2 linked regions of the Lytechinus pictus genome follow. The protein of the gene in region 1 purifies or fractionates together with the protein of each later gene. This does not show direct contact. Links are inferred from orthologs where the notes say so. Each region holds a gene or a part of one and is shown on either strand. Other genes may lie near its edges. The genes, in order: ubiquitin-conjugating enzyme E2 S-like and cell division cycle protein 27 homolog.

What was found.
Region 2: the proteins of ubiquitin-conjugating enzyme E2 S-like (region 1) and cell division cycle protein 27 homolog purify together in Homo sapiens (affinity purification with western blotting; 4 studies listed by BioGRID, with this or other methods). This does not show direct contact. The link is inferred for Lytechinus pictus from reciprocal best matches to the Homo sapiens genes UBE2S and CDC27.

Annotation. Positions count from the first base shown.
Region 1 is NC_087254.1:11,969,267-11,977,240, forward strand, and holds the start of ubiquitin-conjugating enzyme E2 S-like, read right to left. Parts: upstream 3,130-7,974; 5' UTR 3,079-3,129; intron 2,860-3,078; exon of another isoform or gene 2,619-2,859; 5' UTR 2,444-2,618; coding exon 2,429-2,443; intron 699-2,428; coding exon 548-698; intron 1-547. UniProt on the Homo sapiens protein: Accepts ubiquitin from the E1 complex and catalyzes its covalent attachment to other proteins. Catalyzes 'Lys-11'-linked polyubiquitination.
Region 2 is NC_087245.1:15,602,196-15,609,506, reverse strand, and holds the start of cell division cycle protein 27 homolog, read left to right. Parts: upstream 1-4,042; 5' UTR 4,043-4,118; intron 4,119-5,556; 5' UTR 5,557-5,615; coding exon 5,616-5,704; intron 5,705-6,165; coding exon 6,166-6,291; intron 6,292-7,311. UniProt on the Homo sapiens protein: Component of the anaphase promoting complex/cyclosome (APC/C), a cell cycle-regulated E3 ubiquitin ligase that controls progression through mitosis and the G1 phase of the cell cycle.

The sequences.
Region 1 (7,974 bases):
ACATGTGTCTATGGTATGTTGTAAGAATGAAGCCCTGAATAAAAATACACCCTAAAATCATTATTTAGTGCTTAACAAATGTGAAAAATAAAGTGATCACGAACGCTATCTATATTCCAATTTTATTCCATATTCTAGTATTACATTAACCTCCCCCAAAAGATTAATTGAATAATGATTTTTCAGTCACAGATATCTTGTGTCTGCAGGAATTCGATCGTTTTTATTTCTTCATTGCTGTTTTTTAAAATCCATATGAACAATATTAAAAACAAAACATATCATAAGCCATTCGATGCCCTTTCGAGAGGCATGGATGCTCCACATATTGGCCGTGGACATATCTTGTGACCGTTTCCATTTCCCCATTTGCAATTTATAGAAAAGTGCCCAATAGAAGTGTGGCCTTGCCCAACCCTTAAAAAAAAAAATCCCCTAGAAAGGAATTGAACTTTAATGCTTGTATGTGAACTGATAAAGAAGGGGAAAGGAGAAAGAGGGGGGGGGGGGGGGGTGAGGAAAATTAAATTAGAATACTATAGCTTACATGGTCCTTCAATAACAGCATGAATGTCAGTGATGTCTTCATCACTAGGAAACACCTTGATGCCTTCAGGCGGAGACAACTTCAGATCTGCAATCTCCTTCACTATCTGTCGGATTACATGGGGAGAGAAATTTTCCACGTTGGATAAGGTCTGTGAGGAGAAAGAGAAGAAAAGAATGCACAGGCTTATATAAAGTTAAATATGCAGTGACAGTATCTGCTTGAATTTTTGAATGGGGGGGGGGGGGGTAAGTTCCGGCAACAGATTCTAGGAATATTATTCAATCCAAATAACACATACATACATTTGAACTTTCTTTTAAACTGATTTAAGGCCCATTCTCTCTGTATTAATTTAAATTGTATTAAAGGCCCTCTATAAACATTCTAACACATTTAAAAAAAATAAAAATCAAGTGATCAATATTAAGTAGTGACTACAATAAGCCTAAAAACATCACTTTGATTAAAATTCTAGGAGATCTAGTGTTATACCAAAAATGAATTAAAAATAGCATTTTTTTTTGGGGGGGCTCCATTATTATTTGAGGCAGTTTAATAGACCTGCTTATTCATCTTTAATCATCCTCCTACTATATCTATGCCTTTTCTATTAAAACGAGACCCTACTCAAAAGAACTAGACTCTAGTCTTGATCTTTTTCTCACTCTCATCACTTTCCTTCATTCTTTCTTCGTTTAAATTTAGGCTAACCTCATAGAGTATAAGCCTACATTCATCCAATTTTTCTTTCTGTTTTCTCCTTTACTCTTTAGAAATAAGTTCATCTGTTGATCTCTTTTTCTCTTCTCTTGTCCTCCCCTTCATAATTTCACCCAAGTCCTACTCATTCTCCTCCTCTGCTCTCATCTAAGTTATATTATTAAGTTCTTCTCCTCCTAGACCAGTCTCTGTTATGTTGGCTGTTCCGCTGAACTCCGTTGGCTCCACTCAGGCACTCACCAAATACAGACACCAAAGTTCTAGCCCGATCTATACAGGGACTCAATGGCCATATGTTTATGTATTAATGTCAGATAAAACAGGGAAGTGAAGTTGCACGACAGCCGAAGTAAGTCACTGTTTTTTCCCCTTTTAAGTTTATTTTTCCTGTTTTGGTGCATTTCTTGTCAGGCCAAAACAGAATAATATTCTTTATTTTGGTACAGTTATTTTTATATATTTTTATGAAATAAAGACAAAAATCAATGAGCCACGTCGGGGGGATTTTGCATTGTTAACCCCCTAATGGTGGCTGCACGATAGCGAGCCGTCTGTGTACGAGGAGAAATAAAAATAAAAAAATGTTTAAAAAACTCCTCGAAACAGACGGCTGCCAGCTGTCTATTCTCCTCCTCGGCACGCTCGGCCGGCCTCCCCCTCCTGGTCTTCTTCTTCTTTCATCTCATGTTGTTCTTCCCCCGATATTTGAGGATCAGCGGCTATCCGCAGGTTGGTTAAACTTGGCATGCTTGACTTCTTTTATAAATTATTATTGAATATGATGAAATTTCTTCATTTTCTTTTTCATTTCTCATCCATAATAATAAATTCATTCATGTTCTTCCTCTTTTTCTTAGTTTAAATTCTGGTAAACTGACATACCAACTTAGCTTTCATATAACTTTAGATTTGGCCTATAATTTTCAATTAATAGGGGGCGTATTGTTGTTCAAGTCCTGAATTCAATGATGAAAGTCACACAATTGAATTACATACACAACACTTGTATTGGCAATGCGTGTAAAATGTTAACCGTATTTTGACAATCGCCGGTTTTCAAGTCATCTCAACTAAAATCATGTTCTACATTCCTACTCATTTTCTAAATTGTATAATCACGTAAAAATTATACTGAAAAATATAAGCATCTTATCTTACCCCAGAAAGTGACATACTGAAGATTGGTTTCCAAAATCCGTCAAAAACCAGTGTATTTGCCCAGGATAAAATTGGTGATCGTTGCAAATACGAAAAACAACAGCAGCTGGGTCATAGCAGGTCATCGCTATTACGAATGGACCAATCCAGGCGCAGCTTTCAGTGCAGATTGATTCACACTTCCGGGTTACTGTAGCAGAAGACATTTGAAGCCACATTTACCATGGAATTGAGTGGATAAATTGTCTTTTATTATCCAGTTGGTGGAGTTATATGTACACAATGCATACATAACGGTAGATATACATGTATATGAGAAGTATTTGGAATAATATTGACGGATTTATTCATTCGCTCTGTTTCCTGGATATTTACATGGCTTTTTACTAAAAATTGGATTGTACACAAAGTGATGTCATCGACAAAAGTGGGATCGGTGATTAATCCGGGCATCTGACATGGCGGCCGTGTATTGCTAAGCAGAAACTGCACAGCACAAATGAGGAAGGGTAAGTTTCGGTCGTGTTTTTTGCCGATTCTCATGTAGTTCAATTTGTAATTTCACTTGTGCCTACTTTTTGGTCAAACATGTTGTATTCTTACCCCAAAAACCTGAGTTATTCTTGTAAAATATGGAAAAGAAAACTTACTTGCAGATGATGGAGCTGATCATTGCCTTGGCGCTGGCCTCGACGCGACGTAGGCCGATCAGCTCAGCTCAGCCAAAGTTCAGCCCTGCGAGCGCAGGCAACAACAGGCAGCAACACAGTGCCAGTCATCGCGGCCCCGTCCTTGCCCGTCCCTCTTTCTGCCTGGGACTGGTCCTGGCTCTGGTCCTGGCCCACTCACACAAGCATGCGAGGCCTGGCTGCAGCTATGAGTCTGACATGGCCCATGGTCGTCCTACTCCCAGTTACATTTAATTTACACAAGTGTCGGGGGGGGGGGCTGTTTGTGGCATAAACTTCTTTTTCATTTTGTAATGACTGAGTGTTACTTACTAAATTACTGTTGACGTTGTGCCAATTGGTGATTAAGTTAGATCTAACTGTTAGTACTTCATCGAGTGTTAGATCTATAGTGCATAAGAAAAGTTTACCATCTTTATGAAAATCGCTCTTATTTATGAACAGCTTTATGTTATGATTAAACTCCCACAAGAATCGTCTGATTTTGGTGTAGACCTATTGCAAAATTGTCATTAATGACATTAGGTGTGTGACTTTCTGTGCATGTGTAAAATTGAGTGATGTCATATATTTTTTAAAACTAAAGTAAAATTCTAGATCTAACATAGATCTTTAAAAAAAAAAAATTTAGGGAGCTGCTTTGAGTGCCATTTTTCACTTTACCAGAGCCATACTTTTTTCTCAGGATTTGGTACATGGTTTTGCATAGCAGTTTGTCTTGCTTGTTTACAAATTCATATTAATGTTTAACATTAGGCCCTATTTAACATGTCATTGTTTATTATTCAATTGCCTTTATTGTTTCTTCATTGTTATCAGTTGTTAATTGTTCAATGAACAGTAAACAATTGGTAACAATGAAGAAAAAGTAAGTGTTCATTTGATGTTGTTGTTTGTATCTCATGATGTATGAAACTTATGAAAAGGAGAGATGAAATTTATCAAATTTGAACAGAATGGGTACTTTCAGGATTTTTTTCCAATTTTTTGATAAAAACTCAGTTGAATACAAATTTTTGAAAAATTCAATCATTTCATTGTATTGCCGCCTGATAGCTAGTTTTAAAGTATAAAAATTGCCCAAAATTGAACATGTCAACTTATTTCACATGCCGTGCCAGCAGAGTCGATCACTGCAACACCACCAAACACATATAGGCAGTATCACTCACAAAAAATCCCCACTGAAAGCGAAAAATTAAAAAAAAATTGCCCTAAAATTGCGGTGTCCACACCATACATGTATTTCCAGAGCATGCGGTGGATATTAGTTCAGATTTAAGAAGCGGGTGCAGAAAAATGCTCTAAAAATCAGGAAATCTGTGGTTTTGTTCTTGAACTTCCTTTTTTCACAAATTTAGGATCATAGCTTCAAAATTACAAATAAAAAACAAACCACAAAAAAATAAACCGCATTGATTTTTCACAGAAACTTTTCTGTACATTGAAGTTCCGCGCAGCGTTTTGAAGAATATGCTTGATATTCCATTTAAAGATTTATCAACCAAGTAGTTTAGTCATGTTTGTTCATTGAATGAGTGGGTATTTAGCAAGGGGTCAGATGATGGCCAGTTATTTCAAAGAGGACAATGTAATGGTTAAACCACTAGCTCACTGCAACCAACCTGCCTGTGGGGAATCTACAGGTAGGACTATTGTGACCAAAAATACTAATTTCCATACAGTTGCAATTTATTTTTCATTAGCAACTTGGGAATAATTTGTGTATTCACCAGAGTGCTCAAAAACTTGAATTTGAAGCATATTTTTGTGTACGCCCTCTATTGGTGGAAATTGATATGGCAAGACAATTTTCATTTTTCAATCTCTATTTTTGATTAAGAAAAAAATAATTTAAAGAATCAAATTTACTTAAGAGCCAAATTGTATGATGAATAGGTGTTATGGAAACTGTCTGTGTTAAAAAATCAAGCATTTGTCCCAAAGAAAAAGAGAAAATAAGCCAAACATTGCCACCCTTATTTAGCCACACATGGAGATTTAACAGAGAACAAGGTTATATCATAACCTTGTTTATTGAATGAGTGGGTTAAACTTTTAAAATTTGTAAATTAATGTAACCTATGAAAGTCTTGTCTTCTGGTCTCTAGGTGCAGTGGCTTCTTTATTAAAATACAATGTCCTAGATTAAGCTTTTAGAAGTTCTTTTTAAAAATCAAACAATTCATTGAGTTGATCTACATGTATCCAATTGAAAATAAGAAATTCCTTTTGTGAAGAGTTGGTCCAGAGCAAATGGCTTATTAGGACACTCCCACCATCCAGGGGCCCTCGTGGCACTAGGGGCTCGTTGCAGTTACATGAATAGTTGTGATCAAACACAACTCCAGAAAACAATTGTAATTTGATTTTCAACCAATGATACATATGTTAATAGGGACTTGCATATGAATTTTGAGATGTGCTTATTAAAGCGAAGCTCTTCATGCCATAGGCATAGACAAAAATCACATGGTAGCTGGGGACGATTTAACCCCAGAATTGCTCAATAAGCCCTGGAATCAACATTGTAAAAAAAAAATTAAAAAGCCCTGGAAATCCCCATTCATTGCAAAGTTAAAGCTTTTCCAATGTTGCAGATGTAGACAGTAAGTTGTGAAAAGTACCCCCCCCCCCCAAAAAAAAAAAAGTGCCTGGCAAAAAGTGGCAATGGGCCCCAGCTGACTAACCCCCAAATTGTTACACCTTTAAAACAAGTGTCTGGCTAAAAGAAAAAGTGAAAGTTTACTCTAATGTTTTAATCAATGTACTCTGTTCTCATGAATCGAGCTGTGTTACATGTACAAGACTGTTGGAGGAACTTCCGCAGATAAATGTACCATACAGTATAAGTAAACTATGTACACAATAATATTGTCAGATGATGCTTTAAGTGGTTAAGAAAGCAAACAAACCTGTGTATTATTACTTTCACTATTAAAAAGATTCAAGTTACAAACATTCTGATGCTTTAATGTGTTGCTACTCTTCTGTGAGTTACAAAACAGCTTGAAAAGTTTGAAGGGGCACAATTTTAGCACATGAAAGGGATGCATTTACACCCCGCATCCTATTTTGACATTTGTAAAGAGGGGTGTTACTGTGTATACAATGATCACAAAAGGAAATTCGCCTTCAAATACTTCTTTTTTGTTCTTTACTCAGAGATTGGATCTAGGTGTTGTCATCGGGGGAAGGGGGGTGGGGGCATCATGGCTTACTGGTTACGACTCGACTTTCAATCAGTGAGACGTGGGTTCGATTAGTGTGTTTTCCTTCAGAAAGAAATTCACCCACATTGTGCTGCACTCAGCCCAGGTGAGGTGAATGTATACCTGGCATAATTAATTCCTTGAATGCACAAAGCGCCTTTAGCAGCTGGAGCTAAAGTCGGGGTAATTTATAGTGCGCCATTGAATAGACAAAGTAGATCAATCGGTGCCTCATATTATTATTATCTAAATTTTATTAGATTTATGAATGAATTATATTCGAGTTGAGTATTGTTTTAAGAAAAATTATTCATGTTTTGTTTATTTTCTTTTGATGAAATAAAAAACATTTGAAATATAGGCCATAGATACATACATGTTATATTATGTTGCGTACATGTGTGTAGTTCTTGCATACTTCTGGGTTTTTTTTTTATTGACAATTGTCCTAAGTCACGGCTCTGAAATTTAAAAGTTACACGTACTAGCGGTGCAAAAGTCCAACATTGACCATATTTTTATCTAATTCAAAATACAAGTTGCAAGAAACAAATTACAAATGGTGTTATGGTGCTACGTAAAAAAAATTATGATAATTTCTAATTTTATTGATTAAACTACTATAGGATTATCGTAGGTTCAAATATGGTAAATTCTCACCATATTTTGCCTATTACCCAATTCTCAAGAAAAACTCCTATTTACTTGGTAATCCAGATAATTTTTTACTGGTCAGTGGTGCATTTTGCATGAATTGCAATCACGGCTGACCAGTGCTCTACCTGCCAAATCTTAAGATGGGTGGTGAGAGCACTGACTTGTTCCACAGTGCAGAGGGTCCTGGTCCTAAGTCAGTATTAAGTAGTTTGTAATATCAGGGGTAGCATCCATACTACAACTTTTCTATAAAGTATGTCTTTTATAATTCGAAAATCATGTAGGATATGGACAGCAGGGCCCCGTCTCACAAAGAGTTACGACTGATCCAATCAATGGTAACTCTATGGAAATCCATCAGTGTCATAATTTTTTTCAACAGGAAATTTGCAAAATGTCCTTTGCAAACAAAGGAGAACACACCAAATTGTCAAGAAGTCAATGAATTTATGATTATTCATCATATCTAGCAGAAATTTTTGAACAAACATGCATTTTATATATTGACTTTGCTAGCTTTCTATACTTGCGATTGATCGTATCAATCGCAACTTTTTGTAAAACGGGCCCCAGATGCTGTTGATTGTTGAAAGGTAATTTGCCACTTGGTCTACACTGACTTTGTCTACTTTGTATCCTGAACAATATCATTTTTTTTATCCATTGATGATCATATGAAAACATGATGAACACTTTAAATCTTTGATTTTAAAGATTTTGTCTCAAAATAAATTGACTCACTATGACACTGTCACTACTTGGCTCTTATAAGAACTTACAGTGATTAGAACAACAGTTTAATAGGGCCTCAAAGTAACCCAAGGCCACCCATGGCCTCCAATATCCTCAGAATGGCCTTGACGCCCTTCCAAATATTTGTAGACACTAAAGGCGAAAATAAGGGCCCATTTGCCTGACTTCTTGGTGCCCGATGGTAATTGAGTGCTTGTAACCCATTCAAAAGTATATTTTTGCTATTGGTGCCCTC
Region 2 (7,311 bases), on another chromosome or scaffold:
GTATAGGGGGTTAAGTGCCCCTGCCGCCCCCCGGTTCCGCCGCCCCTGCTGCTAATATAGCCTCGGGTTATAATTTTTATCTAAGTTCAAACTGGTATTAACAAAAATATGTTGGTATGACTGCATTTTATAACGATGGTTTTCTTTAAAATATATATTTTTTACCATTTCGATCCATCACATTTTTGCATTTTTTTGTCCGTCGATATGCCCAGCGCTGAGAGGTCATGCCAAAACGTGATTTTGCATGAAGTACATTCTCTGAACCATCATCGGAACTTCGGAATCACACAGAGATGGAAGACCCCTTCCCCCAAATAGTTCCGCCTAGCTGTATGTCCTCGAATATATATATATATATTTAATAAGACATCAGAAATGCGAAACACAAATTCACGAGTAATGCAGTTTTTGCAATAAAATTTGCAATTTTATTATATATATATCACCATGATAAGTACGTAATTTTATTATCCGAGCACATGCAGCCGACCGAGGAGGAGTGGGTGGAGGGAGAGGCACCTAGGAGACGTCATACTTGTTCTTGTTCAGTATACTACCATAACAAGTTGAAAAGAAAAATGCAAAGAGAAACTTGGAGGGGGATCGATGTTACATGGTTATAACATACAGACCTACGCACCGGTATCATAGGCGGATCCAGGAGGCCGACGTTACGCCCCCCCCCCCCCCCCCGATATTGGCGGCGCAAAGTAATATGAACGAAAGCAGAGGGGGGGGGGGGGTGACAAAATATAAGAGGAAGAATGAATAAAAAAAGGTGAGGGGAATTCAGACTTGGGGAGGGGTGGGAGCCAATCATGTCACTACACAAGTATAAAAACAATTTAGCCCGCGCTTTGTGTTCGCATTGCCTGTTCGATGGAACATATATTCATCTATACCAATTCATTTATTGATTTATTCATTCAGTCATGGTTAAACAGGTTCACAAGTTCAGAGTTATTAGTATATAAAATCATAGTAACAAGTACAATGACAAGGTATAATTCATATCGAAATAGTATGAGACATAAAGAAATATTAACTGATCAATGTAATACAAAACACGGAAACATTGTTGAAGGGCTTATAGTAAAACGAACAAGGGAACTAAATAGGCCTTTACTTATTCAAATTTTTGAGCACCTTATCCGTCAGTGTGCATCTTAATTGTTTAATGATCATATTGCTCAGATCAATTTTCAGGACACAATATACACAGTCCGAAAATAATACCTCACGCTCGCATTTTTTATAGGGTTTAGTACTGTTACGACTATAGATTCCAACAAAAACTAGCTTTGAGCTGCCGATCGATCGGGAAAAATGTGGATGAAAATATTGTTCACCCCGGCCCCGTTATTAGTGAAAGCTGGATCCGCCCCAGAATATATTGTTTAAAAAAAAAGGCATAGGCCACGCGGTATTTGTCATTTTTTTGTGATAAATACATTGAGGCAGTATATTGACAAATAATCACTGGAAGAGAAAGAGCATCTTATAGGCCTATATAACGCACAAAGCAAAATAATGAAGAATGGCGGCAAAGCTAGTTCAATACAAAATGATTTCCTTTTCCTTTAAAAAAAAATGTTACAACACGTTATAATAATGAACAAATCAAAATACAGAACCTGAAGAAATTGATAACGATTCAGTGAATCGGAATCGAAACAAAAATGCGTATGTAAATATAATTATAAAATAGAAATAAAAAACGGGGAAAAAAATAAGAATAGCCCTTTCACAAGCAACCATAATTCTCCCTCCCTTCATACCCTGGACAAGTAAAGAAAAAAAAATACAGCTAGAGAAACGAAGCAAAGATGAAAAGCAAGGAAAGGGAAGGAAGCCGTCTCTCGGTACCTGGTACTCTGCCCAGATATCAAGATGTACGTCTAGGACCTATTCTCCGCGATTTGAAAAACAACGTGCATAACATCACAATTATTATGATGGTCATTTAAAAAAGTTCCTTGGTTGTTTCCAAGTTATTTAAATTGCCGTCGAGGGACTGCGCGAATGCACACGCTCCTACAGGATATGAATGAAAAAGTCGCAAACAGACTCCGCCGTTCAATCCGATACTGTACTGTATAGCCGGTATACAGATCGGCACGTGAGACAAGCGCAGAGGCGATGGATATGAATATTCATGAGCAGGTATTGATGTCATTTGGTCTCAAGGTGGCGCTCTTCATTTTTTATATCAATTTCAAAATCTGCATCAAAAGAAAGCTCACTTGGCAAAATTTCTCTTCTTTATATATTTTTTTGAGAATAAAAACAGTTCTTTTGGCCAATGCAATACATTTTATGGACTCAGAACTTGTTTATGAGTATTTTGAAAAGCGAAGAGTGAAATCTAAAAGAAAGTTTTGAAATAAACCAATGTCACAATTTACCTTTAAGGTCACACCACCATAAAGGGTCTGAAAGCCTAGACTAGTCGAAGTATCGGCTTATGGTCGCTAGAAAACCCCTTCCGCTATCAGCGCTTCTCCCTAGCATAGCGGGAAGAATCTTGACTGCAGTTGCAACGACTTGAGTTAAGAAACACTAAAAATAAAAAGATAGATCTAACGTGAGAGAAACAGGAAGTGAATGAACCGGAAGTCTCGACAACCTTTTGTTATTTTGGGTGGCTGTCGCAAGAACTCTTTCCGAAATTGGTATTCTGAATAATTTGATTCTGAGAAGCATACAGTAGCATGGGAGGTCCAGTGTCCGGACACTTTAAAATTTTGCCTTCTTTTTTGTCTTGACTTTGGATTGCACAAAAAATATGAATTCAGTAGTCTAGATCTAACTTTTTAGTGGTAAGATGGTGGTCCTTAAGTCTGCGCATCTAATAATGAGTGAAGATATATGAATTTCTTTTTCTTTCACAAAATCTTTCAGTTAATAATGTTTGTTATATTATGAGTAAGTGTACCAAATATCTCATAAGAATTTGAAAGAAATATAGGATTTTCTTGGAAAAACCTCGGGCAGTCATTTTCAGATTGAAAAAAAAACGGTACCCCATGTCTGAACACCCATTCACTTTACACACGATTCAGGGATTTGATGAGAAAGGGTGCAAATGGTAGATACATGTAATCTATTTTACATGCATACACAGACAATATTCACTGCAGTGTCATTGCAAATTATAGGCATTTTTTAATGTTTTGTTATATCTCATGTTATGTAAAAAGAAATATAAAGAACAAACAAATCAGGATTAAACAGAACAATATTTTTCATCAAAAACTCAATTTACTCACTGGTTAGAGGTGAGAAGAGAACTTAGAGAAGGATAATAAGATGGGATCCTGATTATCAGGAATAAAGTTGCCTTGTGACAGGCCATCACAGACCGCAATAAAAAATTCCAAAAAAGTGGAATAAGCACAATGATGCAAATGAAAAGGAAAAGATTGCAGAAAATACAGATTTTGAATGATTAAAATCATATTCAGAGATGATGCAGCTTTTAAAATTCTGGACAAAATATCAAATGCCTTTGCATTATCTTTTAAATTGTTTGTCAATTAATAGATGTAAAAATTTATAAAGATATGGGAAATTTTGCTGTCCTTTAATGTTTTAATAGTGGCATTAATTTGGTCAATGTCATCAATAACTAATTTTACAATGTACATGTAATCTACCTTGAAAAGTGGGGTAGGTGACTAGGCGTATGTTTGCACTTTGAACAAATTGCCCTCCACTTCCACAAAGATGCCATGATATGAATTACAATGAATATAGGCCATTTATGCACTTTGGCAGTGCTTATTTATAAATTCATGTATTACATTCATGCTGTCTTGAAGGGGGGGGGGATGGGTGATTGTACAGGCCATCCTTCCCTCTCTGAAAAGGTAAGGGGATCTCCCCCTTCCCCTGGCATATACGGGAGCGAATGGTCACTGCAACTTATTGGTTGCATACATTCATTATGCGCGGTGCAGTGCAAGTCAGTGACTCTCGCATGCAGCACATCTTAATTTCACAATTTTCATGTCCTATTCACGTTTCTTTCCTTTTTCAGGCGGCCATCTGGCAGTGCTTAAACCATTATGCCTACGAAGATGCTACCTTTCTGGCAGAGAGACTTTATGCTGAAGGTATGTGTGTTGAAATACAGTTTGTCAAGATGTAAGGGCAGTTTAGCCCCTGAAATGTACAAAAAAAAAATTGAAAAAGACTCAGTAAGTTGCAAAATGGCCCAGGTAAATTATCGGTTATCGGTGTGTACCTATTTCATTGATTTTTGTCTCTCCTGCATAGCAGAGCGAGACTATAGGCGCCGCTTTTCCGACGGCAGCGTCGTCAACATTGAAATCTTAACCAAGGTTAAGTTTTTGAAATTTCATCATAACTTAGAATTATATGGACCTAGTTCATGAAACTTGGACATAAGGGTAATCAAGTACTGAACATCCTGCTTGAGTTTCAGGTCACATGACCAAAGTCAAAGGTCATTCAGGGTCAATGTACTTGGACCATGTTGGAGGAATCAATATCAAAATCTTAACCAAGGTTAAGTTTTTGAAATGTCGTGTGTATCACTGAAGATCCTGCCTGAGTTTCAGGTCACATGACCAAAGTCAAAGGTCACTTAGGGTCAACAAACTTTGACCATGTTGGGGGTATTTGTGGAATTGTCATAACTTTTAAATTTTATGGATCTATTTCATGAAACTTAGACGTAAGAGCAATTATTAAGTATCCCTGAACATCCTGTGTGAGTTTAAGGTCACATGGCCAAGGTCAAAGGTCATTTAATAGGGTCAACAAAATTTTTATAATGTTGGGGGTACTTGTGGAATTGTCATCATAACTTTAAAAGTTTATAGATCTAGTTCATGAAACTTGGACATAAGAGTGTCCATGTATCCCTGAATATCCTGTGCGTGTTTCAGGTCACATGACCAAGATCAAAGGTCATTTATGGTCAATGAACTTTGGCCGTGTTTGGGGTATTTGTTGAATTGGCATCATAACTTAGAAAGTTTATGGATCTACACAAGTAGTTCATGAAACATAGACATACATGTAAGGGTAATCAAATATGAATGATTATTTTGCACACGTCTCAGGTCACATATCGTGGTCAAAGGTCATATTGGGTAAATGGACATACATGTAGTATTTTATTACACTGTTAAAAATGATTTAAACAACGCTGTTTACTATGTGAATGGCACAGTAGTTGTTTAAACATTTTAAACAAGTGTTTAAAATCTTCAACAACAAAGTTTAAATTCAAATTTAATTATTGAAAATTCAAGCATGGTTGTTTAAGATTTTAAACACTTGTTTAAACTGCTTAAACAACTACTGTGCGATTCACATAGTAAACAGCGCTGTTTAACTTATTTTTACCAGTGTATAATATGAGTGTTTTCTTTTGTGAATAATTATTCAGTAGCTGTTTTTAAAGTGAGCACAGCTGCTAATTCGAATCACGTAATACAGGCGGAAGAAATGGATATTTCTGAAGTGTAACATGTAGACCCATTTTTTCCCCCCTGACCATATATCACATGTTCTTTGTTTTAGTTGGGTCAGATGAGGGTCTATTCCTTCTTGCCACCTGTTATTACCGGTCAGGCCAGCCAATGAGTGCCTATACCTTGCTACAGACCAAAGGCTGTCCGACTCCAGCTTGCAGATTCCTTATGGCCAGGTGCTGCCTGGATTTAGAGAAGTGAGTATTAAGTATGACATTTAGGTACTATAGTTAGAAAAGATTTATGCGAGAGTAAGAAGAATTCAGAAATTCACACATTATTAGTGGTTGTCAGATTACCTATTTTTTATATATCATTATTGTCGATCACCAGTGTAGTACACTATATACCAAGTCAATTTTTGCATAATGAGGATTTGTGTGTTTCATTTTGATTTATTTGCTCATTCATGTTGTTATTCCACATAATTTTCTACAACTTAAGTCATTCGTTTTGATTCATTCCTGAACATGCCTTTTTTTATGGTCAATCATATTGTCTGTAACTATGCACAACACAGAAGTACATATTTTACCAATTGTGGAAACGTAAATAAGATTATAATATGCATGTAATACTTCATTGTAATATAGGCAATTATTTTTACCTTGTTCTATTATTATCATTATTAATTTTTTTTTTCTTTAATTTTTTTAAGGCTATCAGACTGTGAAACAGCATTATCAGGATCACCAATAATGAAGCCCAATACGTGTGATGATGTCGTATCATTATTTAAAGAATCAGCACCCTATGCACTCTCAGTACTAGGAAAATTATGCAGGTAATATGTGGCCCCTGGTAGCACAATGCTTAGCAAGGGTTTTACCCCCCGGTAGTGCTGATTTTCACAATTTATTGCATTGATCATTATGTGCAATCATCAAGTGTATGATTAATTACTAAGCTTTGTGTTATGGGCTTCTGGGTTCCAACCCAGCTTCCAATGCCAAACTTGAAACCACCTGTTGTGGTAATTGTACCAGTGATATGCTGAAAAGTCACTGATAACAAGTTACCATTTTCATCGGGTCCCAGTATATTTTCACAGCTTTGTTTGATTATTGAGTGTGAAATGGAAAGTGATTAATACATGCATGCCTTTTGTTTGAAACCTACCTACCTTTCAATAAAAACAATAATGAAATGAATTATTAACGACAGTTTTATTCATTTAAACCATATTAGAATTTACAGTGGTAATTTCTGATGGAATATTCCCTTATAAAATAATAATATTGTATGAATATTTTTATTACAATTATAGTGCATGTATTTTTAGAGTATCATATTCAGCGAACAAGAAGGTCAATTAGGATGTGTTGAATGTTGATTTTTCAAAACGCAGAACTTTATCATGATCATCGGTGCACCATACACAGTCAAAAATTTAAAGCTGATTTATGTTGATTATCTAAATTCCCCTGTTCCATCAGCGCAGCGTACGGCGCAGTTTGACTTGTCACAAGTTAGGTCAATTCTGGCGCACACTTTTCAAAATAATGTGTAAGCTTTCACTGTAAGAGCCCATTTAAAAAGACGTTTGAAAACTCAATTGATTCAGTGTGGCATTTTTTTGCAATCGCAATGCTGATCTTTTTTCAAAACACACCTTTTTCGGCTTTTAATTTTCCTCTGAATCTTATTCTTTGGACAGTCAATAGGGGGCAATGGACACACCCTTTGTTTCTTGTTATATCTGTGTTTTGTAATTGCATGGTTCATGTAGCTGTTTAAATTTGAAAATCAACACTGAACACATCTAAGTCAGTTGGGGGAAGACATTGCTTCACTTCTTTTGAAT